7 separate regions of the Mus musculus genome follow, and regions 1, 3, 4, 5, 6 and 7 are each reported to be linked to region 2. The links are microRNA targets in miRTarBase. Many come from high-throughput screens and were not tested one by one. Region 2 holds a microRNA gene; each other region holds the end of a gene's coding sequence.

Region 1 (4,060 bases), not on the chromosome of region 2:
CCCTGCCCAAACACCCACCACCATAGGTATAGAGTCTGAGACAACGCGCTGGGTCTCCAAGCCACGCCCATCCTCGGTCCCTCCCACCAGCGCCTGTTTGAGCAAGGGTGGATGGAGAGGTTGCTTGTATTAGCTTGGGGAGTCAATAGTATGCAGGAAATGTGGTTCTAAGAGGAGAATGTGAGGATGCCTTCCTTAACTGAGGTTTCGTTTTGACCTCCAGCAGGCTAAGTATGGGAGCCACGCCCCTAAGACCTCCTCCGCGCACGCGGCGAAGGAAGAGGGGGATCAAGTGCCAGCAAGACTCGGACACGTGTGCGTGTGCGCAGCGTTCGCAGGCTTCTAAATTAGAGTCGACTCCGGCACCCGATCTTTATTTACCCAGAGTGCAGCGGGAATGTGTCTACAACGCTGTTGTGTGTCTAGTCTCTCAGCAGAGCTTCTGCGCCCTCCTCGCCAGGAGTGTGGCCGCCTCTACTGGGTAACTAGTGCGAGATTCTGCAATTCACGCTGGACCAAAAGATCAACTGGGGACACTTTGACCCCAGCTTTGACATCCCTCTCTACATACATACCAGACTCGGAGACAACAAGCACAACGCCAGGAAGCAAGTCTGTGACAGCTCACGTGGCCTGAACAATCATCTCTTAACTTGTTGCTATGCTAGATTTCCTATCTAGTTAGCCGCTTCCTCTACTACTTGAAGAAGGCCCCGCCTACTCGAGTGTTTCTACCTCCCCCCCCCCCCCCAATTAATGATAACCTTGGGGAATCAGGTCTAGCTCCACCCGCTGGCCTTCTCTAGTAACGCACAGGCTCCGTAGTGGAAAAGGAGGGAGGAGAAGGGAAACTTAGCCTCCAATCAGAGCTCCGGCCTGTATCAGCGGAGCCAATCAGAAAAAGCCATACCAAGAGTCAGCCCTGGAGGGGAGGTCAGTTTAGTCTTTCTGCCCCGCACAAATAAAGCTAACAAAACTCTACGCAGAGGAACTCGGGTTCTAGGACCCCATGCTGGCCTTGAAGGAGAAATTTCAAGGTGTTGTTTCCTCCAGTACTACCTCTAATCTACTAATCTTCAGCCCCTACGTAAGGAATTTGGAAAAAGTAAGGTACCTTAAAAAAGAAACCACTTTCTCCAAGAACCGTAAGGCAGAGACTGAGGAGGAAGACTTTATTGTTTCAATAAGAGTCTCTGAATTAATTACTCTGAAGTTCTTTTCCCCTCCCTCTTGTCAGGCATCGAAAACAGATCTATAACTAAGTCTGCACAGCCAGGTACTTGCGCACGTAGACAGCCCCCACAGCCAGGAGGATCCCCACCAGGGTTGCGATGGAGGTAGAGGCCAAGGCTATAGAGGCTGGGCTTAAAGCTGTGGGCAGGAGTGAAAATCAGGAACTAGGAGGTCTGAGGACCGCCAAGCGTGGAGCCCACGCCTGTTCTGCAGGCCCCCTTGGAGTGGCAACATCCCCTCTCCCGCACCCATTCCCTGGGATTACAGGATGCCTCACCGAGGACTGTCAACATAACAGGTGCCGAGCTGCTGCGCACCACTAGCCCGTCGAGATTGAGGCGCGCATGGCAGGTGAGTGGCTGCCAGAGGTCGTTGAGTCCGGCCCGCATCACGTAGGTCAAAGTGACATTAGCCAAATCTGAACCGGTGAAGCGCTCCAGGCTTTCATGATAAATCACTCGGCCACCTCTTCTCAGGCTCACCACCAAGAATCCCACTGGGAACACGTGTGTCACATAGCATCGCAGAGTGTACTTGTGGCCCACTAGGACCGGAGGCTCCAAGATCACGCTTCTGGGCCGTTCTAAGGCAAGAGAGATAAGGCCCACAGGCACCCCTTAAAGCAATTACCATCTATCCGCTTCCTCCACCCCTCTCCCCTCACCCCAGCCCGGCCTGAGCCCCGGTCTCCCTCACTGTAAGCAGTGATCCTGGCGGTGGCCTCTCGGGTTTCTCCTGCGCAAGTGACGACGCAGCGCACCTTGGAATTCCAGGCCCTCACATCCAGTAGCTGGTAAGATACCCAGCCGGATCCATTAACTATCTTTCCCTGCCGCAGTTGGGTGCGCAGGCTGGAATGCACCGGCAGGGGGCAGTTGTGGCTGCAGTTAAGCCACGCTGAGCCCCCGGGAGGCACGGCCTCTAGCTCTGGATTAAGACGCACCCAGAAAGGTGCTGAGGTCACGGAAGGCGCGGGAGGACTTTGCATCCACTCTTGCTGGGGGCTCCCACCCCTCGGATAGGCAGCCACCAGCAAAAGCGACGGGAGCAGAAGGGCAGACTCCATGGCACAAAGCCCGCGCTGAAGTGCGGGCGGAACGCCAGGGAGTTTAGGCTGGCCGCAGGAGATAAGAAGGCACCCTGGCCACGCCCCAGAATGGGCCTCGGCCGGCCCTGATGAAGATACCTGCCTCCCCTCCCATCAGACCCTACAATCAACCAAAAGCCATTGCACAGTTCTGGACCTGCTCTTTAGTTTTTACGTAAGCCCCAAGAAGTCTTTAAAAATTAAAAAATAAAATAACGCTTGGTGATGGCACATGCCTTTGATCCCAGCACTCCCAGGGAGGCAGATCTCTGTAAGTTCAAGGCCATCCTGATCTACACTGGGAAACCCTGTCTATCTAACGTAGATTTTACTAGACATGGCAGTGGCTTTGTCATTTAGTCCTAGCATTCAGGAGACAGGTTGGCCCATCTTTGTGAAGTCAAGGCCAGCCCATTCCACATAGCAGATTTCAGGACATCCATGGCCACAAAGAGAACCTGTCTCAAAAAAGAAAGGGGGTGGGGGTGGGGACCAACCTGATCCACAGACTCAGAGTTAGGGTTAGGTTACCAGACAACCCTGAGGCATTATGGGAGTCGGCAGTCCTTAGGGCTTTGCCTAACTGATGTGATGACTGTACACAAACTCACAAGACACTCAGGCCGACATAAAACTTTATTGATTCAAAGGAAAGGTTTCTGTGCTGGGAGGGGTGCTTACCCTCCCACAGCAGCTTGCACGACCCTTCTAAGGAGTTGGAACATTTCCTTCCAGGCTTTCTCTTTGAGGTGGAGCCGCCTGGGACCATGATTTCATGAGCATGAGGCTCGATTGTTCAGCTGCTAAGGCATGGTGGCTGACATTGGGAACAAAAGTAGGTGGGGAGGTGCTGGGACGCTCCAGGATGTGGAGGAGCAGAGAACCACTGCCAGTCCACATAGTGTTTATGTGACTGGTGAAAAAAGTCGACCCTTATGAGAAAAGCATCCTGACCAGTAGAGAAACCCTCGACCCATGTGATCTTTCCCCAGACTCTCACAGCATCTGCAGCAGGGTCCAGGCCATAACTTATACATTCACCTCCTCACTGATCTACTATATACAGGGTACTCAATAAATAGCTGGTAAAACTCTAAATTAATAAATACATCAAGAAGAGTTGGGGACAATGTCTCAGCTTTCCTGTGTCGGGGGGAAGTGTGGTCTTCTTGCTTGTGTCTACTGGATATCATGTCTTCCTTAGGCAGGAGCCCCTCAGCAGGGGCAATAGAGAATGAAGTCAGCGTTTCTTGGCTGAAGGTCCACCGGGCTGTAGGTGGGTCCGGGTCACACGTGTTCACAGTCTTGCTCCATCCACCGAGTCCTCTTAGCTCTGAGGCTACAAGTGTGCATCCCCCAGGCCACCATCCTGTTCTGTGACAGCCAGAGGAAGTGGCTGAGGGTAAATGCTGTCTACCATTCTGTTCAAAAGCAGCAGCAGCTGTTGCCCTGCAGGGGGTCCAGGCAGGAGTCTCATCCAGCAGGCTCAGGGAGGTGGGGCTTGTCCCTTGAGTTTTATGGCCTCCTCCTGAGCCTTCTGTAACTTGTATATCCTGATCTTTCTCTGGCGGTTATAAACATAAGAGGCTGCCATCACGAGGCCCACAATGACCAGCAGTACTGGCACCAGAATGATTATAGTCCAGTTATTTTGAGAGTGGTCTGTGTGGTAGAGACAGAAGGGAATGGTGAGACTTGAGGCCCTGGCACCTAGCCCACCCCTCATCCAGCCTTATATCC
Region 2 (4,065 bases):
CTCTTAGCGCACAGGCAGCTCCACCCCCACACCCAGGACAACCCTTCCCCCAGCCCTTCAGGGCCGGGCGGCAGGACGCAGGGAATTGGAAATAGAGAAACCGGGTGCTCCGGACTGAGTGCATAGGAGTACCAGGAGGAAACGCGCAGGCACGTTTCGGCGGAGATGCAAAAAATTAAACTTGGTTTGACCCATGGAAGGGGTGCTCTCCCAGACTCCCTATGTACCATGCTCTGGCTTGCTGTAAATATCTCTCACGAATAGTAAGGGGAGGCCGAAGGGAGGTCCTTGGCCTGGGAAGGGAACTGGTCTTTGAGGAGTCGCTGTACGGAGCCGGCCCCGTAGCAAGCGCGCTCCTAAATCCGAGGCTCTTTGGGAGTGCCTCCTCCACCCCCGCGCACCCTCCGAATAGAAACGAGATCTGGGCAGGCTAGAAGCGGAGATGTGTTAGACCACTGCAAAAGCCGAGGGTGGGGCTGAGGGATGGTAAAGGGTCTGCTGTCCTGGGAGCGCCTTTTCTGGGCGAGGATCCAGGCTCCGCGGATGGGAAGCGATTCGGGCAGGCTTTGCTGTCTACACCATGGACAGCAGACCGTGAAGGTTTGGTGTCATGGACGGTGCTGGGGACCTGACCCAGTACCCTCTAGGGAGAGGGACCACTGGCCAGGCAAAGAGGAGCTGGTTCCAACAGGGAGTAGCCTCTGCTCGGAGTCTAGATCCTCCACTCTTGAGCCACCAGCCAGTGTCCCTCGGGCTGCAGGTGCTGGCAGGCCGTGGGTGGTTTCCTTGACTTTGGGTTGGGCATAAGCAAAGGTGGGCTTAGCTGTCTGTGTAAGAGGGGATTCTCTAGCGTCGGTTGAGACTGGCACCTGCAAAGGGAAGGATTTGGGGTTGGGAGAGAAGTATCCTGACCCTCTGAGGACCTTCGGGCAGTGGGATGAGATCTCCGGAGATTACCTCCTTCCCAGCTGAGTGTCTTCGGGGGTTCCCACGGGGCTGGAGAAGGTTGGAAAGGGAGGGGGAAGAATTTATGCCTGGGTCATTTAGCTTCTGTTAGAGGGCAGGTGGTCAAGGGCTGGGTTGGCCCAGGGAGAAAGGATAGGACAGAGGCCTGCCTACTTCTGTGTGGTTCTTCCAGTCTGCAGGAACAAAGGCCCGCTGGGAAGGCCTAGAGTGGCGTGGGTTTTTTTTTTTTTTTTTTTTTGTTTTTTATTTTTGGAAAGCCGCTGATCTCTAGCCCTAAAGACCCAGATCAAGGTAGTCACCCTTCAATAGACTGCAAAGAGTAGATTCAATTGCAGTCAACTGTGAAGTATGGACTGTGTTTCTCCCATCCTCGTAAGCAAGGACTCGCTACCCAGCTAGAAAAAGGGTGAAAAAGGGGAGCAGTCTCTGATGGGGGTTGGGGGAGATGTCTAACTCCCTTCTCCACATAGGGCCGCCAGCAGGAGGCTAGGACCCCTTTCTTTCCCCCCCCCAGGAGAGAGAGGCTCAGAAGCCACTGTGTAGAGTGGTTATTCCGGAAGGACCAGCCGCTTGTGTGAGGCAAGCACAGTGTGTTCGCTGCACAGCGGGGTGTGGCTGGTGGTGGGTGTAGAGGAGCTGCGGTCGGTGGGCTGCGGGAGAAGCTTTTGCGTGGGTCGTGCAGTAGGACAGAATGAGCGGTTCGAGAGTGTCCAAGAGGCAGTTTCTCTGCATACGTGTGACCCCGGGGCGCCGGGCACAATCGAAGGCGTTCGAGGGCTGCATCCGTGTGAGTCGAGGAGCGCGCGGAGCGGGACGCCGAGCGTGTGCGCGGGAGGCACGGGTCGCGCGGTGCGTGAGTGCGCGTGTACGCGGTGCGCGTGCCCCTCAGTTCTCAAGGACACCTCCGAGAGGAGGCGGCAGAGCCGGTGTCGGGTGACGTCACCGCGCGCCCCAGTGATAATCGCCCGGTGCCGGAGCCGAGCGCGGATACGAGCGGAGGCAGCGGCGGCGGCGGCGAGCGCGGGGACGGTCGCACCCGGTCTAGGCAAGGAGAGTGGGAGTCAGACTCCCGCAGTGCCGACCTCGCGGACGCCGGGCTCCCACCCGGCCCTCAGGAATTTGCCCGGCTTCCTTGGCACTGTCCCTGCGCTCTCCTCCACCCGGGGCCGTAGCGTGCGGGTCCTGCGGGCGCCAAGAAGGAGGCGGAGGCGGGATCGGGCGACAGCGCAGGCTGTGCTGCGGAGCGGAGGCGGCAACCGAGAAGCAGCAGGCGGCGGCGGCTCGCGCCCGGACGGGTAACTGCGCTGGCGGCCCGTGCCGGGGCGAGCCGGTCTCTCAGGTCACCCCGTCTTTCTCTCCTCGAGCAGCTTCTCGCCAGCCAGAGGCGTAAGAGAAGAGAGCTCGGCGGGTTGTAGAAAGAGACTGCTTTTCATCTCCGAACATCGAGGTTCTTTATTTTCACCGCACTCACGCACTCCTGGTGGGGCCGGGAAGAGGAGCCGGGGAAGGGCAGCTGCGGAGAGGCTTGCGCCGCCGGGGTGGAGAGGGCTCTGCACCCGTCAGAAGACTGCAGCAGGCCGGAGCACGCGCGCTCACCCCGGCCGGCTCCTGCATCTCCCTCGCCGCGGCTCCGAGGGGTCCCTACTGCAGGAACGCCCCGAGGGATTTGCCCGGGCCCTTCTCTACCTCGGGGAGGGGAAGGAAAACTGGCTCCTCGGAGTTGGGGGCGGACCAGGGCAGCACTGCCAGCTTAGCGCGGAGCCCCGCCCCGCCCGCCCGCCCCGCGGCGAAGAAGCTGGAGCATTCGCGCCCCTCAGGCTAGGACCCCACGCAAGCCGCAGCCCGGCCCCGACCCGGTCCAGCCGCTCGCCGCCCGCCGCAGCCCTGAGGGCCCCTCTGCGTGTTCACAGCGGACCTTGATTTAATGTCTATACAATTAAGGCACGCGGTGAATGCCAAGAGAGGCGCCTCCGCCGCTCCTTTCTCATGGAAATGGCCCGGGAGCCCGGCCGTCGCGGCGCCCCTCCCGCGGGAAAAAGGCGAGCCCCGGCCCCCGGTGGCCCCTCGCTCCGCGGACAAATCCGGCGAACAATGCGCCCGCCCAGAGGGCGGCCCAGCTGCTGGGCCGGGGATCTGGCCGCGGGACACAAAGGGGCCCGCATGCCTAGGACGTCACGAGAAGGGTGGGGGCGACCGCGGGGGAGAATGTGGCCACCCGGCCCCTGACCACGTGTGTCCGCAGCTCTGAGTGCTCGAGATCCCGAAGAGGGAGACGAGGGCCAGAAGACAAAGGGAGGGGCTGGGGAAGCGGCGGGCTGAGGGGCGCGGGAGGGAAGTGTGCAGCTTCCCGGGTTGTGTTGGCGCGTCCCGCTACCCACGGGCAGTCCTGGGCGCTGTCCTCGGTGCTGGCCGTGGAGTCACCCAGAGAGACGGGGCGCTAATGCGCTTGGGGCGAAGGGATGTCATGAGTATCACTGTTCCCATCTAGGGGGCCCTGGATAGTTGCCGCAGCAACCCCAGAGAAATGGGGTAGGGTCTGGGGTCACTGCAGTCTGTCCCCTGGGCGCTCTAGTTGGGGTCGCAGGGTGAAGGCGGTGATCACTTTGATTCTGAAGAAACCCCTGAACCTTAGGTTGAGGTTCGAGCTGTGGAAGTGGGGGATCTGCATCTGCATCCAAGGTCTAAATCTGGGTGGATACACTGGACCGCATCCCGCCCCCAAACCTCTCTCCAGCTATGCGGGACGCGAGGCACGTGAGGCTCTGCAGCCCAGAGAGAAAATGACAAATCCTCCTCCTCCCTCCCCCACCACCATCTGCAGCCGCAGTGACACCCACTCAGGTCTGCTGCAGGCATTTTTTTTCCTGTCCTCGGCAGCCAGCGCCACCTGCTGGCGTCCTGGTATGAGACTCTGCTCTGGCATGTCTCCTCCCAGCAAGGTTTCCGATCCCCAAGGTTACAGGCCCTATTACCTAGGGCAATGGTTCTCAACCTTCAGAATGCTGCTACCCTTTAATAGAGTTCTTCATGTTGTGGTGACCCCTCCCCCCAACCATAAAATTATTTTCGTTGCTACTTCGTATTTTGTTGCTACTTCAT
Region 3 (4,062 bases), not on the chromosome of region 2:
GGGGAGCAGATGGGAACCAGGAGCTAGGCTCTGGGCAATTAGGCTGATTGGGACGGTGCATCTGTGGGTTTTCCTCCAGATCCTGGCCGGCTATGATATCGCCCTGGTGCAAGAGGTACGAGACCCAGACCTAAGTGCAGTGTCCTTGCTCATGGAGCAAATTAACAGGTGTGGCAGGGCTGGGCCCCACAACCCCAGCCAAGATCACAAGCTTGGTTCGGTGCCTTGACCCAGGGACTGGCGTCTCTCTCCGCAGAGTGTCCAAGCACGAGTACGGCTTTGTGAGCAGCAAGCCACTCGGACGTGACCAGTACAAGGAAATGTACCTGTTTGTTTACAGGTGAGAGGCGGGTTGCGGGGAGGGGACACATTGGGGCAGAGGTAAGCAGCTCCAGACATCTTGTTCTCTGCTGCTCCCAGGAAAGATGTAGCGTCAGTGGTGAGCACGTACCAGTATCCAGACCCAGAGGACGCTTTCAGCCGGGAGCCTTTTGTGGTCAAATTCTCAGTTCCTAGCTGTGGTGAGTTGATACTGCCCTCTCCCAGACAAGCCTACCTCTTCCAGGCTTCCCTTGACCCTCATATCCCCCCACCTTCCACAGCCACCAAGGAGCTGGTGCTGATCCCCCTCCATGCAGCACCACACCAGGCGGTGGCAGAGATCGACGCGCTCTACGATGTGTACCTTGATGTCATTGACAAGTGGAACACTGATGTAGGCAACACCCCCCCCCCCGCCCCCAACTCACGTCCCAGACCACAAGTGTTCTCAGAGGTCTGGACTACTGAGCACTGCTAAGATGTACTGGCTGTGCTTGCCTACAGGACATGCTGTTTCTGGGTGACTTTAATGCCGATTGCAAGTACGTGAAGGCGCATGACTGGCCATCGATCCGCCTTCGAAGCAGTGAGGTGTTTAAATGGCTCATCCCAGACAGTGCGGACACCACAGTGGGCAACTCAGACTGTGCCTATGACCGGATTGTAGTGAGTGGCGCCCATCTGCGCAGGAGCCTGAAGCCCCACTCAGCCTCAGTTCACAACTTTCAGGAGGAATTTGACCTAGATCAGACCCAGGTGAGTGTGGACAGGGCTCCAGCAGACATACTAGTCAGCCCCCTCAGGAGAGGGCTCACAGAAATGCTCACCTGCTGGGAGTTTACACTGATGCTTGCTCTAGCAAAAGCAATTATCGCCAAGGGTCCTTAGAGTGCCAAGCCCCCAGGAAGGGACTGTTGGCACACTTCTGTTCTCTGCCACATGGAGGCAGTATGAGGCCCAAGAATGGCTACCAAGCCTTCACTGCCTTCTTGGTGGTGGTGGTGGTGGTGGTGGTGGTGGTGGTGGTGTGTGTGTGTGTGTGTGTGTGTGTGTATGTGTGTGTATGTTTGGGGGGAGGGGGCAGCTAGAGAAAACGCTGCCCTGCTGAACCGCTGAGACTCCCCCAACCCCTCTCCTTCCAGGCTCTTGCCATCAGTGACCATTTTCCTGTGGAAGTGACTTTCAAGACTCACTGAGAGCCAAGGCCTCAGGATATGCCACCTGCAGACTATTACCACAAGGACTGGCACCACAGTGAATCATTCAGGTGGCAGGCCACCCACCCACTGAGGACACAGGGTCGGACCAGCTGGTGTGGACAATGGCTGTGAACACATTTACAGGACTCCTTAAAGCTCCCATTTCCTCATCTGCAAGGTGAACTAACATCACCTACCTCATCGGGCTGCTGTGAGGAGAACCGAGCAGCGCCAGGCACATAGCTGCATGCTTAATAAACAAGCCGCTCTTGGCCAGGACTACCCACAGGTTGGATGGGGCCTCTGCTTTCTGAGACCTCTGTACCGAGGCTGCAGAGCCTGGTCTTACTGTCCAGTAGGTCTATTTCCATTGTTGTTGTTCACTTCCCAGCCTGGAGGATGCTGGCTCCTCCACACCATGCCAGCTCCCTATCCTTATTGCCTTTGTGCGAACTTGAAATGCTCGTATGAATCATCACCCAGTCACCCAGTGGCAGCTCAGATGGTAATGTCTTTCTGGACCCTGCTGGATTTGAGAGCAGGCCCTGATCATTCTGCCCCAGGGATCCTAAGGCCTCACGTAGCACTGCCGGCAGCGATGGCGGCTACACCTACCCCGTTAGTGAGCTCTTCTGCCACCTTCTGAAAAGGAACCTACAGCAAAGGCAACTGCTGGGCACGGAGTCCTACCCAGCCTGCACTCTGCTTAGGCCAAGCTGTTCAAAGGTGCCTCATGGAGTAGCTTTAAAACTTTGGGCTGGGCGAGGCCTCGGCAGGATGGAGATTTTATGCTCAGGTGGGCCATCACTTTAGGAGCAGGAAATAGCTCTGTAGACACAAGGCTCTCATAAGGCTTCTAGTTGTTAAAACTTGTCGTGTGTGTGTGTGCACGTGTACATGCACATGCACGCACACATGCATACGTGCTACTATGGAGGCCCAAGGTCAATAAAACCTCTTTAGTGAGATTGGAGAAAAGGCATGAATTACATGGGAAAAAAACCTTGCGGTGGATTAGAAAAGTTTTGTCGTTTGTGTTGGCATTTCTGGGAACTGAATCAAGGATTTAGTGCAAGCCTATCTGGATTGCATAAAATCTAATCTAAGATTCAGGACCTTACCACTGAATAAGCAGCACTGGGCTGAGGCAGAAAGGCACTTGCAGTTGCAGCCATAGGGCCCCATGCTTCGAGGGACAGCCTCTGTATGCACACGTACACTTGGATAAGCCAGAGGCCCAGCAAGTTTCTACCTTGTTTCGAGAGGAGGTGTCTCACTGGCACTTGCTGGCTGGCCGGCCAGAGCCTCAGAGATCCGCCTGTTCCTGCCCCCACCCCCACCCCCACCCCCGGCACTGGGGTCAAGCGCATCCACCTTGTCCTGCTTTGTTTCAAGTTCTCACCATAGCATGGGAAGCACTGTAATGACAGACCTACCCCACCCAGCTAGTGGGACTGTTAGAACACACACACACACACACACACACTCACTGTATATGTACATACACATGTATGTATATTTGCATGTATGTGTGTATGCACCACATGCTTCATATGAAGTGCTTTTGGAGGCCAGAGGGGGCATCGGATACCTTGGAACTGCAGTTACCACGTGGGTGCTGGGATTTGAACCTGCATCCTCTACAACAGCAGCTAGTGTTCTTAATCACTGACCTATTTCTCCATTCCTGAAACAGGACATTTTAAGGTTAGGAACACAAGAGCTAAGAGAGTTTTGAAGTTGAAGAATACCTTGTTTATATATAATCTTTGGGACCAGTGGGTCCCTAGAAGGCACATATGTGGCAGCTGTAGGTTAGCCCTTATTTTTATTTTTTTATTATTTTTTTTCAAAACAGGGTTTCTCTGTATACCCCTGGCTGTCCTGGAACTCACTCTGTAGACCAGGCTGGCCTCGAACTCAGAAGTCCACCTAGGTTAGCCCTTCTTTTGCTTGAGCTTTTCCAAGTACATGTGTAGGGACTTCTGGATGGAGTCTTTGGAGATGAAACTGGTGAAATTCTGGATGTCAGCCTCTCGCTGCTTGATCAGGTTGTCTGCGGTGGCCTTTCGCATCATGTTCTTTGTCAGCTGCCGAGAATGGTCTGAAGAAAACAGGGTTACTTATGAAACTCACCTGTGCAGTGTGGGGGGCCGTTCCCGGCTCCTCTACACTTGAGTCCTCAAGTACTGAAATATAAACTCTCCTAGAGTTGGGAAAATCAGAGAAAGCATTAGGGCAGCTAAGGTGGGCTAAGGAGTCCAGGGTCAGCCTGAAATACATAGCAATATCCCATCTAGAGTCCCCCACCCCAGCCCCTCGAGACAGGGTTTCTCTGTAGAGTCCTGGCTGTCCTGAAACTCACTCTGTAGACCAGGCTGGCCTCGAACTCAGAAATCTACCTGCCTCTGCCTCCTGAGTGCTGGGATTAAAGGTGTGTGGCCACCACTGCCCAGTGCAAGACAGTTTTTATTGTTGCTGCTGAGCCAGTCTCTGTGGCTCAGGATGGTCTTGGATGTGTAGCACTTCTCTTTTAGTCCCC
Region 4 (4,065 bases), not on the chromosome of region 2:
AGAAATTCACCAAATATAAGCAGAATTAAGTGAGAATGCTCATACCTCTTTCTCTCGTCTGAACAGATGAAGTCTAGATCCCTAACACTGCAAACAGCTACATGAAAGCGGGAACTTGGGATTGTAATAAGCCATTAGACATTTTCTAACATGAAGTAAAATTAATTTTAAAAGGATAAGTGTTAACTCTTACTGAGAAATTTGTCAGAATGACACTTCGTTATATTTTAAGTGTATTGACTTAATTCTTTAACTCTCCCTATAGATCCTGTTTTCCTCCACACAGGCACGCAGACTACAGTCCCCCGTAGGCTCCTGTCCAGCAGACGCTGTGTGATTTTTCCCATCTGTCTACATACGGGATAGGACCTTATATGCTCAGTGTTTATCAGTCTCGCAGTCCAGTGAGTGCTTCCCAGTTAGCCTCACCTCCCTTTTTCAGTTAAGATTCTTATGAATAAGTAAAAATCCTTCATCTTTTTGATCAGTCACTATTAATAGAAAATATTAAACCTGTAAGCAAAGGAAACATGATGTCAGTTCAAAGTAGTTTGAAAAACTTAGCAACTTAGACATCTACGTGATTGTAACATAGGGTGGCTTTAAGAGCTATTAATTTGCAACAGAGATTTTATCGCCATCTAGTGCCCAAAATGAAAATAACATGTAAACATGGTTAGATCTTACAATTTAAGTCTCACTCCCAGGGATTCATCTATTAAAATTCATTAAGTTTTCATACATTAAATGTGAACAAAATCTGGCATATAGAGTTCTTGTTTATTATTAATAATTTTATATTTTATGCTAAATTATATACTATACGTGCCCAGAGTTCATTCTTAAATTGAAGAATATCTAGAACTAATTTTCAGTAAATGCAGCTAATGTGTTATTGGACTATGCAGCTAATTTTTTAGGTTAATTTTGCTTGTGTTGGTTGTTATTCTTGTATCTTATGTACCTATTTAGGACTTGTTCATCTCAATAAGATTTGTTTAATGACATAAATGGCCCCAGTTAGATGCTGAGAACTGTAGCTGTCTACACATACACTGTCTACGTAGAATAGTTCTCACTTGTCTACGAAATGAGTCAGTTATTTGAATTTTGAAATGTTTTACATTGGAGTCCCCAGTTCTATAATAATTTATAAATGTAGGAACTAGAAAGTATTTGCACCCCTCAGCCTACCACCTGCTGCCATCCTCCCTGCAGGCTTTCAAGCACACCATTATCTGACCATTGGCTTCTCCCCACTTTGAAATGCTAAGATACCTGCAATTATACCCAGAAGAATAAGGCTGACGGGTTCCAGAGCCATTTTAGATGGCAGCTCATGGCAAACTGCTCTACAAGCTCTACTGCCTGAGGTGCAATTGTTTGGAGGCCTGTACTCAATCTGGAAAATGGTGGCCCTTGAATGCAGAAGCACGTATCAGCTTTCAATACTCCAAAAGACGTTTATTGTGGCAGTGAACCTTTTTCATGATATCATCTGTTCACCTAAACCTTAGCAAGTGGTTCAATTCTTCTGGACACAGTATTAGGTGCCGATGGTGCCATGCCCATGGTGGAAATAGAGCCTATGCCCTCGTGGAGCACAGCCACAAGGTCCAGGGAGACAGCCTCCTCTAGCTTTGTCCAGCCAGGCACTAGAATAGTAACCATTTTTAATCAGTGTGAGACCACGTGCCTCCCAGACATAGCTTAAATAATGGATACAGTCTTTACAGAGCTCTGAACATTACAAGCTAAATGCCCTGAGACAAGCAGCTTGTGTATTACCACTAATGATCAGAGCTCCACACCTCCTAATTTCAAGGGATTTAATTAACACATCCTCTTCACACTGACCAACCTGGTTTTGCCTCACCCAAGTGGTAATCTATTAAATAACTCCAGCCTCACAGGACTTTATCACATGGTCTGACTTCCAGTGCCTCGGGGCTCCCGGACCCAGGACTGTTCTCACTGCCTATTGCTACCCTTTTCTACAGTCACTAACACATCAGCCACTCAGAGCTGAAAGATAACCACCTTTTGGCTGTGCAACTGGACTTTGTGTTTAGAAACATTAAATGTATCAAAAGTCGATATATGTCTTCCTGCACTGTCGGGACATGTCATTTTGTGGTACTTTTTTGTACATTTTTTAAAAAGATGATATAAAAGGTTCTGTTATGACTAAAAAGAGCACTAGCTCATAGCACTGGCCTGGATCCCAGAGTCCTCGTCAACTTTGACTTAATGCTTTGGGAGCACTCACATGATGAGATGGGCCAACACCCACTGCCCAGGTTGGCAGCTTGGTCTGACTCCCTTACCGATTGCCTTGCCCTCAGAAAGATAAATACTGAATATCTCCTTTCATTCATATAAATCAGAATTAAAATTATATGTGTGTAGACATATGTGTGTAGTCGTGAAACTAGAAAAGGGATCATGAAGGGGAGAAAGAGATCTTAAAGAAGAAGGCCAATGGAATTCCTATTAAAGCAGAGGAGGGGACTTTGTGGGAAGCTGTCACCTGGAGAGGGCAGTGATGGAGGGCTGAGTTATAACTAAGCATAATCACTAACACGAATGACACTGCCATAGTGAAGCTTGTCACTTCATATGTTACCTTAAAACAAGTGACTTACCCTGAATTTTCAGTTTAAGGAAAAGACACACATTCTTTTCATTTGCCATCTGTCTTTTATTGTTTCTGTGATCAATGCAAGCTCTTGGCTTCAGTGTTGACATTCCCTCCTTCCTGTTCCAGGAACCAGACATCCCAGCCTCCAACTCAAAAGACACCTGACACAGTTTTTTTTGTTGTTGCTGTTTTTGTTTTTTTTTTGTTTGTTTGTTTTTGTTTTTAATAGGCATGCAAAGATTAAAGTAGTGAAATAAAAAATAAATGGCTCTACTTTGGGCAAAGAAAACCATCTTTATGAAGAAGAAATTTAAATGCTGGATCAAACATTTTAAAACACCTGGCTTCATGGGTGTGTTTTATAGGTGACTAAAACCAGGCAAACTTGGTAGTAGGCAAATTTTTAACGAGTGATGGATTATCGCTGGTATTATTTGAAGTAAAACACATTATGAATTCAGTTTTTGAGATCTACAATGATGTTAACGTGTGTTTTCACTTAAGTGTGGTAAGGTCCGCATACTCCTCCATACCCGGATACATAGCATGGGCCCATCACTTCTGTAGTATTTGTAACTCAGCCTGAAAGTAGGAGTGCTGAGATTCTGAGTCTAATATGCTCAGTGAGCCACTGTTCTCTATCGCTATTTTTCCATCTATTTCTTCCTCACTGAATTCATACTAGAAATACTAATTATTATTATTTTTTTTTAGAACAGGTGGTTATTAAGAATGTTAGGTGTGAAATTCATGCTTCTGGGTGAGATCATGTCAAAAGGCACTGCGGTTGCATGTGACTGCTTCTCCTCTTCCTCTAGGTGTTGTCGGACAGCTTGGAGTAGGGAGCACCAGGAGGAGACAAGCAGGCTCTTCAGGGGCAGAGTTTCTTGCCCGAAGAGGGCAAGCTCAGAGCCTTACTTGAAGGAGGCCCTCACCACCCTGCCCTTGACAGGCTGAGGAGGGCGCCAATTCCCCACCAGAGGCACCGGGGGCTCATTCTCTGCGCTGGAGAAGAGGCTGCGCAGCTTGGCCATCTGCAAGAGGAAGCAGACTGTTAGAAACCACAGGCTTTCTAACTGGCCAGACAAACCACAGCCAGGCTCCAGGGATAGGTCCTGAGTTTGTAAGCCCCAGCTCATAACATAGACCGTTTCTTACATCCAGAATTCCCTGCTCTCAGAATTACACCTTCCACACCAGGGTTCAGCATGAACTTTATATACATAGAGGGGATGGGGATGTATCATATGCCTGAACGTAAGAAAAACTTCAAAAGGCTCCCACAGTGTAATCAAGTCAAGTGTTTATGGAATTACATTTTAAAGGACTAGAAAGAAATTTAAAACGGGGTATATGTTAAACTGTGTACTATTCTTTTTCTTAAGGGATCAGAAAATGAGGAATTCTCATAAAAAATATCATGT
Region 5 (4,065 bases), not on the chromosome of region 2:
CGAATGAGATCTTACTGACACGGGGTGTGGCAACACTCTTTTTTGTACTAGCATTTGAATGTGCCCCACTAAGGTTATGTGGACGCATTACATCCATGGTTGGGGATAGGCAAGGGCCTCCTCCCAGCCACTAGCTTCCACAATCAGAGACAGCCCCAGCCAAAGAAAACACTTAAGTCACCATGTGTCCAGACAGTGATCCTTATAAAGGCCTCCAGGAAACTCACTTGGGCTTCCTGAATCTTTTCAGCCCTTCTGCTCCTTAGATATATGGCATAGCTTTCTCCTGGAGGTAAAGAAACATTCCACGTAGGAAGTACTGGGCCTCTTCCTGACTGAAGCTGCCAGCACCTGACTTTGGACCTCCACCCTACAAAACTAGAAATGGCTAGTCTCTGCTCTTTCTCTAGGACCCAGGCTCAGGTGTCGCCCCTACGGCACACAGGAATGAGGCAATGCTTAGTTCCCATCAGGAGGGTCACCACAGGCTGTGTGAACAGAGACTTAAGGGCTCAGGTAGGGGTATGGCCTCTTGCTAGCAATGTTGCCGTGGAAGCCACAGGGCCTACTGAGGAGCTGTCTGTGGAAGGAGAGCCTTGTGACCCATAGGCTTCACAGAAGACAACAGCACACAGCCAGTCACTAGCTCTGCTGCACCAAGTCCAGTGCTACTTTGAGGAGCCTATGGTATGCTGCTGAGAGAAGTTGGAACCTCGTTGCTAAATTGAAGGGGCAAGGGCAAGCCATCGGGAAAAGGGCAAGCCATCGGGAAGAGATGGGGAAGACGCTGGGCTGCTGCCCCTGACCATCACATCCTCTACTGTTGAAAACATGGGAACATGTAAAACATCTACGTGGCGAGAAAGGGAGAACGTTTTTGATTTTCCATACCGGTCAAGTAGGAGAGCGTCTCTTCTCCAGTGGCTGAAGACAGAAGCCAGGAAGGCTTCCTACATGCTAAGTAAGTTCTCTACTACCAAGCGATACCCCATTCTAATTCCTAACAGCTGATGTAGGAGTCTAGTGGGGCACACGTGCAGTGGAATCTTGGCCAGTGTGGGCCACAGAGCAGGCCAGCCTAGGCTCACATTAGTGAGCTGCGGCTCCTCGTGTCCTCTGGACCATGCCCCTCTCCGAGATCTGTCTGGCAGGACACTGGAGACCACAAAGGTACTATAGCTGGGAAGGGTGGCCCCTCTCTAGGCCAGTGTTCTCAACCTGTGGGTCATGACCTCTTTGGTGGTCGATCGACCCTTTCACAAGAGGTTGGGACACGCAGATATTTAATTATGATAATAGCAAAATTACGGTTATGAAGTAGCAACGAAAATAACTTCATGGTTGGGGATCACCACAGCATGAGCAACTGTATTAAAAAAATCATGGCGAGAGAGCCACTACTCTAGGCAGGGACTAGTGCTTGCTCCATTGCAGAGCCTTCTCATGAATACTTGTCTCCAAGGTTCCGGGGAGAAGTCCTGGTCAGAAAGGAGATGTGTGTGGAGTGACCAAAGGTCACCTGAGCTATGGAATGGCACTCAGCTGACACACGTGAAGACGGAGGATGTAACCTGAGGTCACACTCCTTGTAGAGGCCAGCGAAAGTCAGATGATCTCCCTGTCCCAGCCGCTTCTGTGTGTTAGCTTGACACAAGCTGTTGTTACCACAGAGAAAGGAGCCTCCCTTGAGGAAACGCCTCCATGAGATCCAGCTGTGGGGCATTTTCTCAATCAGTGATCAAGGGGGGAGGGCCCATTGTGGGTGGTGCCAACCTTGGGCTGGTAGTCTTGGCTTCTTTAAGAGAGCAGGCTGAGAAAGCCAGGGCAAGCCAGTAAGTCACATCAACCCATGGCCTCTGCATCAGCTCCTGCTTCCTGACCTGCTTGAGTTCTAGTCCTGACTTCCTTTAGTGATGAACAGCCATGTGGAAAAGTGTAAGCTGAATAAACCCTTTCCTCCCCAACTTGCTTCTTGGTCATGATGTTTTGGGCAGGAATAGAAATGCCCGACTAAGACACTCTCTAACCCCATCCTGGTCCCATTGAAGACTTGCCAACATGTTCAGGACGCAGAGTGTTCTCAGGCACTCAGGTGAGCTTCGGGTCACGTTATCAGACAGGAAGTATGTTTGGGTTTTGGAAAGAGCTGTCACTATATTAAGCCTCTGCCCAGCTTAAAAAAAAACAAAAAAAAAACAAAAATGCCAGGCTGGTGCCTCAACAAAGCAGACACAGGAGCTACAGGGTTTTCAGTTCAGTTGATTATCTTAGGAACACAAAGTAAGGGCTTTCTTAGATTGAAATAAATAGGCATCATACCTCCTCATAAAGTTAATGGGCTACTTTATAATAAAATAGGCATCATACATCCTCATAAAGTTAAAGGGCTGCTGAGGCAAGCCTAAGTCACACATGATTTTCAAGAGCAACCACCATTTCTCAGGTAGTTTTGACAAAACAAATCAACAAAAACCCAAACAAACAAACAAACAAACAAACAAAAACCCCCTTGTTCTTTAACTGTTCTCTGGGAAAGTTTTTGTGTCTGCCGATAGCATTGCTAGCCGGTGTCTGGAGGTCTAACCTGCAAACAGCGCGGCGAGAACATGTTCCCATGGTCATGTCAGGCAAGGTGCTTGCTCGGGGCCCTAGCGACTCAGGATGAGCGACACGAGGATGAGTACAGGACCCCCTCCAGACACCTTATTCTGTCAAATAAGAAATATATCACTAAAAATTCTCATTATTTTGTTTTTCAAAAAGGTTATTAGGTTCCTTGGGGTTTTTTGTTGTTTGCTTGTTTGTTTTTGAAGTACAAGATTTCACACCACCACCACCACTCCAGGAGGGGTGGGCAGACTCTAGTAAGCCAAGGAGAACCCCTTACCATAACTCTGTCCTTCTGCCTCTTGCCACTAGAGGGCAGTGCACTGCCACGGGCTTAAAATTCCCCAGGCTAGTAAATAAATATGATCAGCAAATCACATTTTCTTAGGGTCAATTTGTTGCAATGAAAAAGAACACGACTTCCAAATAAGGCACACCCACACCCACACGAGGTCCTTCCCGATGAATCGTCGCAGGGCTCCAGACTGGCTTCCTCAGCAGCCTGCACACCTGGCTGCCATTGCTCCTTCCCTAGCACTGCCTTGGCAGATGTGCTGTGGTTGGGGCCACGCCAGAAGACTCAGAGGAAAGTCATGATGGCAAAGACCTCTTCCAGGCACGTCGAGGCCCCAGCAATACTTCATGGGTACTTTAGAATTCATAGTAAGGAACAAGTTAGTATTCACCTAGATATAAACTTATCTATGTCCCCATCCATACGTAAAGAGTCACTGTGGAGCTTTGTCCAACCCTGGACACTCCCCAGTCGGCATCATGGTCCACCCAGTCCCTGGGTGGGCGCCGCTACAACCTCTTTTTCCGAGGCACCTGGCCATTGGTCCTTTCTTGCCTGCTGCCCTTGGCTTCCTCCTGTGCAAAGTTCCAATCCACGGGATGGAGGAGCTGCTGGGTCTTCTTGTGTGTCCAGTAAGGGTTAATGACGGCCGTGAGCAGGGCCAGCCCGAAAAGGAACAGTGCCCAGTGGGGCAGGTGCAGGCTGCTGGTGAGGGCGTCCCAGTGACAGAAGCACACCCACCACATGTGGTAGGTGAGGATCATTCGACAGTGAAACATGTGGATCATTAGCCACTGGTTGGCCTTCCAGAACAGGGAGTCTGACCACCCAGCCTGTGGACAAAGCAAACCCGAGTGTCAGTATGGGAAAGGGGAAAAGACATCTGTGCCCTTCACGCGCCGCAGACGCAGAACAAAGCACTAGGCTTCTCGCCAGTACTGGCTCTCCTGGGCTCAATTCTGAAGGAAGGATAAAGCCAGAGCCAGCACCTTACCTGGCTGGCCTTCCTACTTTAAAGGCAAAACTCCAATCTTTTCTATCTTGAATTAGCACATATCAGAAAGCCAACAGGTCCTGCTTATCTAGTAGTAGCTTGAGCACACACACCCTGGAGCAATTTGGATGGGCTGCGTGACCTGGTTCTTGTTAGCGCTTTCAGAGGG
Region 6 (4,058 bases), not on the chromosome of region 2:
CATACACACACAGGCTGGAGTCTCAGGAAATTGCAGAATATGAAGGTTGGGGGAGCCCCAAGAGCTTCTAGGAAAGTCTTTGTTCTGGAGTTGAGGAACAATACATCTACTGTGTGTGGTGTTGTGGTGTGCTGATGGTTGCTGACAGGTGAGGAATGAACAAGAACATTGACCTAGTATCGTCACTATGCCTCCCTGTACAGCCCTTCCAAGGCTTGGCTTCTTAGTAACCTTAATAACTTACGGGATGCTATAAGAAAAATAATTTCAGCCATGTTTCTGGATAAAATTTTATTCTTGGCAATAATGAAGAAATTCCTAAGATTAAACAGGACTGGAGGAGTGGCTCAGTGCTCAAGAGCAGTGTCTGCTTTTTCAGAGGACCTGCATTTGGTTCCAGGCTCCCACATCAGCTGACTTACAGCTGAGAGAGAGAAAGAGAGAGAGAGAGATAAAATCTTAAAAGACAAAGTCCAAGAAAGAGACAAGTGACTGACTTTGTGCTTCTCTTTATAGACACCCCGGACATCGGATCTACTAAGGGTGACAGGTGAGCAAAATGAGTTTCATTTATCGCTGGTGCTTTGCTGGTAAACTGTCTCCAGGGCACACAACAGTGGGCCTGATCGCTGATCCTTCCTCTTCTTTCTTGCACACATGCAGTGCTGCTAACAGAAGGGGACCAAGCAAAGATGACACATACTGGAAGGAGATCAATGCAGCCATGGCCTTAACAAACCTTGCCCAAGGAAAAGATGAAGTGCAGGGGACGACCACCAGTTGCATCATCCAGAAGTCTTCCCACATAGCAGAAGTAAAGACAGTCAAGCTGCCACTGGTGCAGCGCTTCTAGAGTGGCCAGGAAGTGCTGAGCTGTCAGTGGGTTGTTTGTTTGTTTGTGTTTGTTTTTACCTAAATCCTCATCCTAAGAGCCAAAGCAGAGGTGAAGAGGACTCCCTTAAAACTCCTGAGTTCAACTATCGTAAATATATCAGTTGCTTCTATAAAAAGACATATAAGTTATAAAAACTCATTTTAATCAAAAATATTAACTTATTTTTATGTTACTGAAACTATGCATAAAGTATCTGCATTACCATTACAGTAAGTGCCTTGCTCCCTGAGGTAAGCCCCAACGTGGGCACAGTGAAGAGCTGTGCCTCAAACCATCAATGCCAACACTTGCTAGACTGCATCATTCCCACTGGTCCAGGACAGAAGCCAATCGCCGAAAGCCCATGAAACAATTTCATTCATTCACATGTTCAAACTTGGAAATCTGTTCAGCCCAGATGAGGTGATCTTTTCTTTCTTTTTTCTTTCCTTTTCTTTTTCTTTTTCTCTTTCTTTTTCTTTCCTCTTTCTTTTTTTTTTTTCTTTTCCTTAACTTCCGGTGTGATGGTGAGAATTTTATGTGTGGGTTTTGTTTGCATATCAGTTAGTGCATCCAAAATGAAAGGTGCTGCAGGACCACATGATGCATACACTTAAGAAGAGATGCTTTCAAACTACTTTAATATTGTAATGCAGTCAAGGATTGTTTTCCCAAGCACTGCTGGAAAGTATCCCAATGCCCTTTACAACTAATTGGGATTTTTTTTCCCTGAAGCTTTAAAAAGAGTCTTATTATATAAATCTTTGAAATTTTTTCCTGTGTAAAGCTAAACCTAAAGTTTAGTTTTAAATCATAATCTTGTTTGCATTAGAGCTCAGGGTTCCTGTGTGATGGAAGCCGCTTTCATGTGGAGTGAGTAAAAGCTTTTTATTTGGTTCATTTCAAATCCCAATTCAGATGGACAATTTGTATTGCAATGAGAACAAGACAACGAAGAAAAAATCTGTGTGTGTATATACATATACATGCAGAAAAATTGATTTCTTAAAAATTTAAAATGTACGGGTAGCAAAATATGTTCATGTAGCATAGACTGTTTAGTCTCTGATTTTTGCCAGATAGGACATTCAAATAGAAATTAAGTGAAGTCTTGCATTAAAAGAAAGAAAGTCTTGTTTCTAAATGTCACTACCACAGAGTGAGAGCAATCGCTATCAAGAAAGAAAAGTCTTTTCCATCAAGCATTAACATCCTCCCCTGCCTGGGAAGACTGCAAACCAGAGGAATGTGGAGATGCCCAGTAGAAAAGGAAATCTGGAGATGGCCTATAAAACAGAGCAAACGTTCAACAGCAAAGTAAAAAAGACTAGGCTATCGGGGGAATTTTTTTCTGGTTATGTAATGTATTTTCTAATTGTTTTAGGCTGGAAAGCATTTTTGCAAGTGTGAATGACATCTGGTTTCACAGCACATGCTGACGTTTTTTTCTTTATTTTACAAAATGCTTTTAATGCCAAAGTTAATCTGGTTGCTGAGCAGACATGACGGCCTTGATGGCCCTCGTAGGACACTTTCTCCTGTATCATAGCATAGTGGGGTGGGGGTTATCTAGTGTAATGAAGATAATTTGATATGAAAATATTTTGTACGTATATTTTTACTTTGTTTTCTCAAGTGCTGTTGGCAGTTGCAGTTGCCCTAGGTGAGATGTGTCAGTGCTGACTGTATGAATGGATGAAGTATTGGGTTCTTCTCGTGCAGCCAGCCAAGTGGGGATCACTACAAGACAAGCCTGCCCAGATGTGCATGAGGCAGTGAGAAGCAAGAACGAATACTTCACTCTTTCTCATACTATTATAAGTTATTCTGGTATTAAATATTTTAATAAAAGTGTTCTTGTTTTAACATATTGTGATTAGATAAGTGAACTTTGGGTTGTATTTTATTTGAAATTGTCATGTTTTACATTTTTCTATCCTTTGGGGGGGGAAATCAGCTAATTTGTTCTGTATTATGAACACAAACCAATGACAGGATACTCTCCACATAATTTCTTTAAAATACCAAAGCTTGGAGTCTGGCCTATACACACATGAAAAATAGGTAATTAGCATATCCTGAGCAATGTCTCCAATTAGAATCATTTTATTATTTTTCTGTGTTACTGTTGTTTTATCTGGAAATCAGAGCCCCCCTGACCCTTAAAAGCACCTTGAGCAATGCCAAGCCAGCAGCTGAGAGCTCGGCTGACATGTAATTTATATTGAAGAGAAAGAGACTCACTCTTATTTTACAGTTGTATTTTAATAAAATTAAAGTCTGTCAAGAGTTCTTGACAGATTTAAAATAAAAGTTCATTTCTAGACTTCAGTGATCATATGGGATTTGTTTGCCTTTGAAAGCTGGCCAGGGCGAGGGAGCAGGAGACAGGAACAGCCTCGCATGTGGCTCATGGATTGGGAGTGCTATAGTTGGACCAAATTTGAATTCTATCACTTTAAGCCACTAACCCACCTGTTAAGACCCAAGGACAAGAACACAACACAGACTGTTCAAATACTGGGTTGTACTAAATTCTTTTTCCATAAATAATACAATAACCATTCCTCTTCCATATTTGCATATTCATGGATTCTAATTGCCTTAAAAAGAAACTTTTATCAGCATACCAAGTCATGGGTATTGTCATGACATTTCCATACTTCCATATCTTTAAGCTTTGTTCATATAGATCCCCTATCCATTACCGTTGTGTTCTGTACAGGGGAGGAGCTTAGCTTGGGAGTCAGCAGAACCGCACTGCAGTGCTGACTCTGCACCCTATCCACACACAACTGCGAGATTTAGACTCAGTCTTTAGGTGTTGTGCACACAGAGTATGAGGAATGAGCAAGACATTGCACTCTGAGGGATTGAAACAGTAGATGATACACAGAATGCAGGAGCCAGCAAGATGGAACAGTAGAAAAGAACATTTGCTGTGAAGCCTGACAGCAAATTTTGCTCTCCAGAACCCATGTGGTACAAAGAATCAGCTCCAGTCAGCTGTCCTCCGATCTCCACACTCAGAGTAAAATAAGTGTAAAAAACGTAAAATGCCTACTACAGTGGCTGAAAAATAGATGATCAATAAATGAAAAATGCTATCACATACTGTAATTTGTTCCATGTGATATGTATATAGGAGCTAAAAGTGTAGGTGGAATAGGGATTGGAGACAAAA
Region 7 (4,065 bases), not on the chromosome of region 2:
TATAGGGGTATCAAGAGGCACTTCACACATGGTGGGGGAAGGGACAACATAGTGGGGGAAATACTGGCAGGCATGCTGCCTGTAGATTGTGGAACTTATCCCCTCTACCTGACTCCTTCTCCCCACAGCCTGTCAGTGCTGGCTGCAAAATCTTTGAGAGCCGACCCAAACTGGCTGCCTGGCGTCAGAGAGTAGAAGCCGAAGTGGGGGAGAGCCTCTTCCAGGAGGCCCATGAAGTTGTCCTGAAGGCCAAGGATATGCCTCCCTTGATGGACCCTGCCTTGAAAGAGAAGCTGAAGCTCTCTGTGCAGTGTTTGTTACACTGAGGGAATAGCTCGAACTGGGAGACAGACGGTCAAGGGAAACTCGGGGCCGTGCAAGCGAAGAGATGAGGCTGTCTGGCTCTTTGGCTGTCACTAGGACATAGGGTCTCTGGTCCGCAATTTCCTCTCTGCATCACCTGTGTTCCCTCTGTGTCCCCACCTGGCTTGTGCTGTAACATCAGTTCTTATCTGACTTCTGGAGAGAGCTCCAGGAAAATACTTGGGAGAAACGTATCTGGCCATATTCCTTTTCTTTGAAACTTTACAAACCATTGAACCTTCCCCCATCCTCCAAGCCATATTTGTATATACATGTATATACACATATACATATAATTGATATCTGGTACCACGTGACCCTCTGTGCTCCTCAACCCTGGTGCCTCCCTTCCTCAGTTTTGGCATGCAGGATCTATGATCTCTCAGTTGAATACATGCAAGAGACGGGGATTGACTAGTGAAAGACCTTTGTCCTCTGCGTCTTTGCTTCCTGCCATAGGTGGGGTGCAGGGCTGGTTCCTTTGTGGGAGTGGAAGTTGCTTGGTATGTCCTGACTTTCCAAATTCTTGTCCCAAGCATTCTAACCCTGACTGCTGCCTTCTACCTGTCTCCGGCTCCAAACTGTCAAGCTACTTAATCTTGTGCCATAAGACGTCTTTTATGTGCCTTACCTAATAAATACATTGTTAACAGAAGAGTAATGGTTTTGCTTCTGGATCCTTTAGTATGCACACTTTCCTATGTGTAATTGGACAGATTGCTTTTTTCGGTTTGTGTGTGTGTGACAGTTTCTCTGTGTAGCTCTGGCTGTCCTGGAACTCAGTCTGTAGACCAGGCTGGCCTAGAACTCAAGAGATCTGCCTACCTCTGCCTCCAGAGTTCTGGTTTTAAAGGCTTGCACCACAACCACCCGGCCAGATTGGTTTGTTTTAAGTAGTTCTACCACTCTCTAATGGACAATGATTTATCCCTGACAGAAGAGTTTACAAACTCAGGTATCTTAGGGACCAGAGAGAGATGCCCTTGTCCTAGGGTCTTGCCTAAGCACACCTCACGTGCTATTTGGTCTCAAGATTGTTCAAAAGAAGTGCGGTTCCCGTACTGAGTTTGAAATGATCACAATCATTTAAGAAACTTTAAGCCTTTAAGTCTCCTATAGAAATGTATGCCTTGTGGGCAACTAGCTGGGACGCTCAGAGGGAAAAACAGAGCCACCTGCCGACTGGGAGGGCCAAAGGTAGTGAACCTGGGACCAGTAATTTGGAGCCGGCACACGTGACAGCGGAAGAGGCGTATCTCTGATAGCCAATCTAGAAGGGCCGAGTCTGCCTGGCCAATGAGAAACAGAGCTGTGCTCTCCCTCCCCGGCCCCGCCTCCCTGGCCCCGCCTCCTCCCCGCCCCTCCCCGCGCTCCTTTTCTGGAACCTCTACTGGCTCCCACAGCTCACCCGGTGCAGTTACCGTTTGGCGATCCCACTCTTCTCCCGCTAACATGCCATTCGTTGAGTTGGAAACAAACTTGCCGGCTAGCCGCATACCCGCGGGGCTGGAGAACCGGCTGTGTGCGGCCACAGCCACCATCCTGGACAAACCCGAAGACGTGAGTGAGGGTCGGCGAGAACTTGTGGGCTAGGGTCGGACCTCCCAATGACCCGTTCCCATCCCCAGGGACCCCACTCCCCTGGTAACCTCTGACCTTCCGTGTCCTATCCTCCCTTCCTAGATCCCTTCCTGGTTGTCTTTCCCAGGCGTGACCCTGACGTGACTGACTCCCAAGGATCCTGGGCAGTGTCCCAGACCCGGAGCCCTCGGACCCCCACGTTAAGAATTTGGCGCGCCCCCTTCTGAACACCAGCCATGCCCTGCCCAAGCTTCAGGATTTAACTTTTGTGTTCCTTGCAGCGCGTGAGCGTTACGATACGACCTGGCATGACCCTGTTGATGAACAAATCCACAGAGCCTTGTGCTCACCTTCTGGTCTCTTCCATCGGGGTTGTGGGCACCGCGGAGCAGAACCGCACTCACAGCGCCAGCTTCTTCAAGTTCCTCACCGAGGAGCTGTCCCTGGACCAGGACCGGTATGCAGGGCCAGTGAGGGAACGTATTTGTGCGTCTGGAGTCAGGACTCAGTCTCTCTGTATGAGGTTGGGGGGGGGGGGGGTGTCACTATTTGCTGGTTCCAGAAAGCACTCAGTGTCCTTGTCCACGAAGGTGGACTCCTCAGGCACTGGAATGGTGGGTCTGTGATCAGAATGTTAGCAAGATTTCAATTCCTTCGACTCTCTACAGCCCCGAGAAAGGATGGTTTGGGAAGCCCCAGTGTAGTCTTGTGTGTACTGAGAATCTACTTAGGCACCCTCTTAACCACTGTGATAGTGGCCTCCTCACCGTCACTGAACCAGGGGGTCTGGTTTTTTAAGGGAGAACTTTTCCAGGCTGGTCCGAGGGAATCTGGTTGTGTCCTGAGGCAGATAACCTTTGAACTAGATAAGGCTCCGGGAGAGTTGCTGGATGATAAAAAGACCTCCCCCACAAGGTGACCCTCCCCTCCCCCCTCCCCATCCTTACATTCTGAGGCAGAGTTAGAGTCTCATATTCCTGAGGCTGGAGCGGGCCTGTGAAGAACTACGGAGATAAGTTTGAAAGAGCCTTCCAAAATGGAGTCCTAGTGGGCTCAGGAAAGTTGGTAATGGCTGCTTTTGTTGGATGCTCAAATGCTGTCCTTTAGTTGAGGGGACAATACTTCTTAACGGTAATGCTCGTGCACACAGCACAGGGCAGATTTGGTAGCTTCCTGACATAGATAACTGTATTGGGCCAGTTTTACAGATGGAAACCTGAGGGTGTCAGCCCTGTGCACAACCACCCTGGTGCCAGACGATCGCCAGGGACTTCCTCTGAGTCCTGTGATTGAGCAATTGCTGATTCCCACAGATTTGAATCAGATTTGAACCTGCGCCTCACTTAGAGCTGGGCTTTGGTTCAAAACTAAGTGCCTGGTACCCTGGGCACGCCTTTAGGAGCATGCAGTTAGTTAGAAGCAGGGGGACTGTTTGTTAGCCCGTAAGCAGCCTAACATGCTCACCTGAGCACAGAGCACAGGTATTGAAGCCATTGCGTTAAGTCTGCACTGGGACCGGTATAGCCATCACCTTTCTTCTGACTTGTCTTTGGTGCAAGGATCATTAGCTGGGGTGGGCAGATTGGCAAAATATCCTGCAGGCTGATATGGGCTGGCCTGTCTGGCAGGGACCTTAACAAATGAGGGGTGTATGCAGGAGTTGACATCTCTCCTTCTTCCTCCTAAAGGATCGTTATCCGCTTCTTCCCCTTGGAGGCTTGGCAGATCGGAAAGAAAGGAACTGTCATGACATTTCTGTGACGGAAACAAAGAACCCAGGGTGTTTGCTCGAACCGGGCCAGAGCCCTTCCAGAGAGGCCCTCCCGGCAGAATCGTGGCCTGGTAGATAGGATGGTAAATCCCTCTTTTGCCTAAACGTCTGCGACTTCAGTGGTCCATTTTTCTCTTCCCCAGCCTCGTGAATAATTGAAAGAGAGCAAATAAATGAAGAGAATATCATTCAAACATGACTTCTTTGCTTCTGTAACCCCCTCTCTGGCATCCTTGAAACCCTAGAGTTGGGATTTGTTCATGAGGGCAAAGGAGTGGGATGTCGCCTGTTTGTGGGGCTGCCGTGTGATGGGAGATGGCTCAGCGGTTAAGAGCGCTGACTCCTTTTCC

What was found. The annotated mature microRNA mmu-miR-124-3p reads UAAGGCACGCGGUGAAUGCC and lies in region 2 at 2,904-2,923, shown strand. An mRNA with a match to its seed (bases 2 to 7 or 8) in the 3' UTR can be bound and repressed. Matches are read on the target gene's strand: a 7mer-m8 pairs with bases 2 to 8, a 7mer-A1 pairs with bases 2 to 7 and ends in A, and an 8mer does both.
Region 1: the mRNA of Icam1 is a reported target of mmu-miR-124-3p. Seed matches in the 3' UTR shown: 7mer-A1 at 3,125-3,131.
Region 3: miRTarBase lists Eci1 as a target of mmu-miR-124-3p. Seed matches in the 3' UTR shown: 7mer-m8 at 3,311-3,317.
Region 4: the mRNA of Car3 is a reported target of mmu-miR-124-3p. Seed matches in the 3' UTR shown: 7mer-m8 at 3,417-3,423.
Region 5: the mRNA of Cln8 is a reported target of mmu-miR-124-3p. Seed matches in the 3' UTR shown: 8mer at 3,035-3,042.
Region 6: miRTarBase lists Mkx as a target of mmu-miR-124-3p. Seed matches in the 3' UTR shown: 7mer-m8 at 1,109-1,115.
Region 7: the mRNA of Gstt3 is a reported target of mmu-miR-124-3p. Seed matches in the 3' UTR shown: 8mer at 986-993.

The regions. Positions count from the first base shown.
Region 1 is chr9:21,027,693-21,031,752 of GRCm38, reverse strand. Icam1 (intercellular adhesion molecule 1) reads right to left here. Exons shown (of 7, transcript NM_010493.3): 7 at 2,939-3,982. The coding sequence ends at 3,807. It overlaps Icam4 (intercellular adhesion molecule 4, Landsteiner-Wiener blood group), which reads right to left and starts at 2,321. Exons shown (of 3, transcript NM_023892.3): 1 at 1,930-2,321; 2 at 1,511-1,816; 3 at 1,157-1,371. The coding sequence starts at 2,299. The coding sequence ends at 1,259.
Region 2 is chr2:180,891,180-180,895,244 of GRCm38, forward strand. Mir124a-3 (microRNA 124a-3) reads left to right here and starts at 2,861; the gene lies at 2,861-2,928.
Region 3 is chr17:24,438,511-24,442,572 of GRCm38, reverse strand. It overlaps Eci1 (enoyl-Coenzyme A delta isomerase 1), which reads right to left. Exons shown (of 7, transcript NM_010023.4): 7 at 3,257-3,624. The coding sequence ends at 3,458. Dnase1l2 (deoxyribonuclease 1-like 2) reads left to right here. Exons shown (of 8, transcript NM_025718.3): 3 at 80-168; 4 at 257-340; 5 at 421-521; 6 at 603-715; 7 at 826-1,077; 8 at 1,464-1,805. The coding sequence ends at 1,517. Among named protein-coding and RNA genes, the nearest start is that of Dnase1l2, 2.6 kb to the left of the region's middle.
Region 4 is chr3:14,871,152-14,875,216 of GRCm38, reverse strand. Car3 (carbonic anhydrase 3) reads right to left here. Exons shown (of 7, transcript NM_007606.3): 7 at 2,836-3,675. The coding sequence ends at 3,556. Among named protein-coding and RNA genes, the nearest start is that of Gm41999, 9.1 kb to the right of the region's middle.
Region 5 is chr8:14,896,201-14,900,265 of GRCm38, reverse strand. It overlaps Cln8 (CLN8 transmembrane ER and ERGIC protein), which reads right to left. Exons shown (of 3, transcript NM_012000.3): 3 at 1-3,735. The coding sequence ends at 3,412. Among named protein-coding and RNA genes, the nearest start is that of Cln8, 9.7 kb to the right of the region's middle.
Region 6 is chr18:6,933,660-6,937,717 of GRCm38, reverse strand. It overlaps Mkx (mohawk homeobox), which reads left to right. Exons shown (of 7, transcript NM_177595.4): 6 at 517-550; 7 at 664-2,752. The coding sequence ends at 853. Among named protein-coding and RNA genes, the nearest start is that of Mkx, 69 kb to the left of the region's middle.
Region 7 is chr10:75,771,074-75,775,138 of GRCm38, reverse strand. It overlaps Gstt3 (glutathione S-transferase, theta 3), which reads left to right. Exons shown (of 5, transcript NM_133994.3): 5 at 129-1,017. The coding sequence ends at 326. Ddt (D-dopachrome tautomerase) reads left to right here and starts at 1,765. Exons shown (of 3, transcript NM_010027.1): 1 at 1,765-1,923; 2 at 2,226-2,401; 3 at 3,633-3,906. The coding sequence starts at 1,816. The coding sequence ends at 3,705.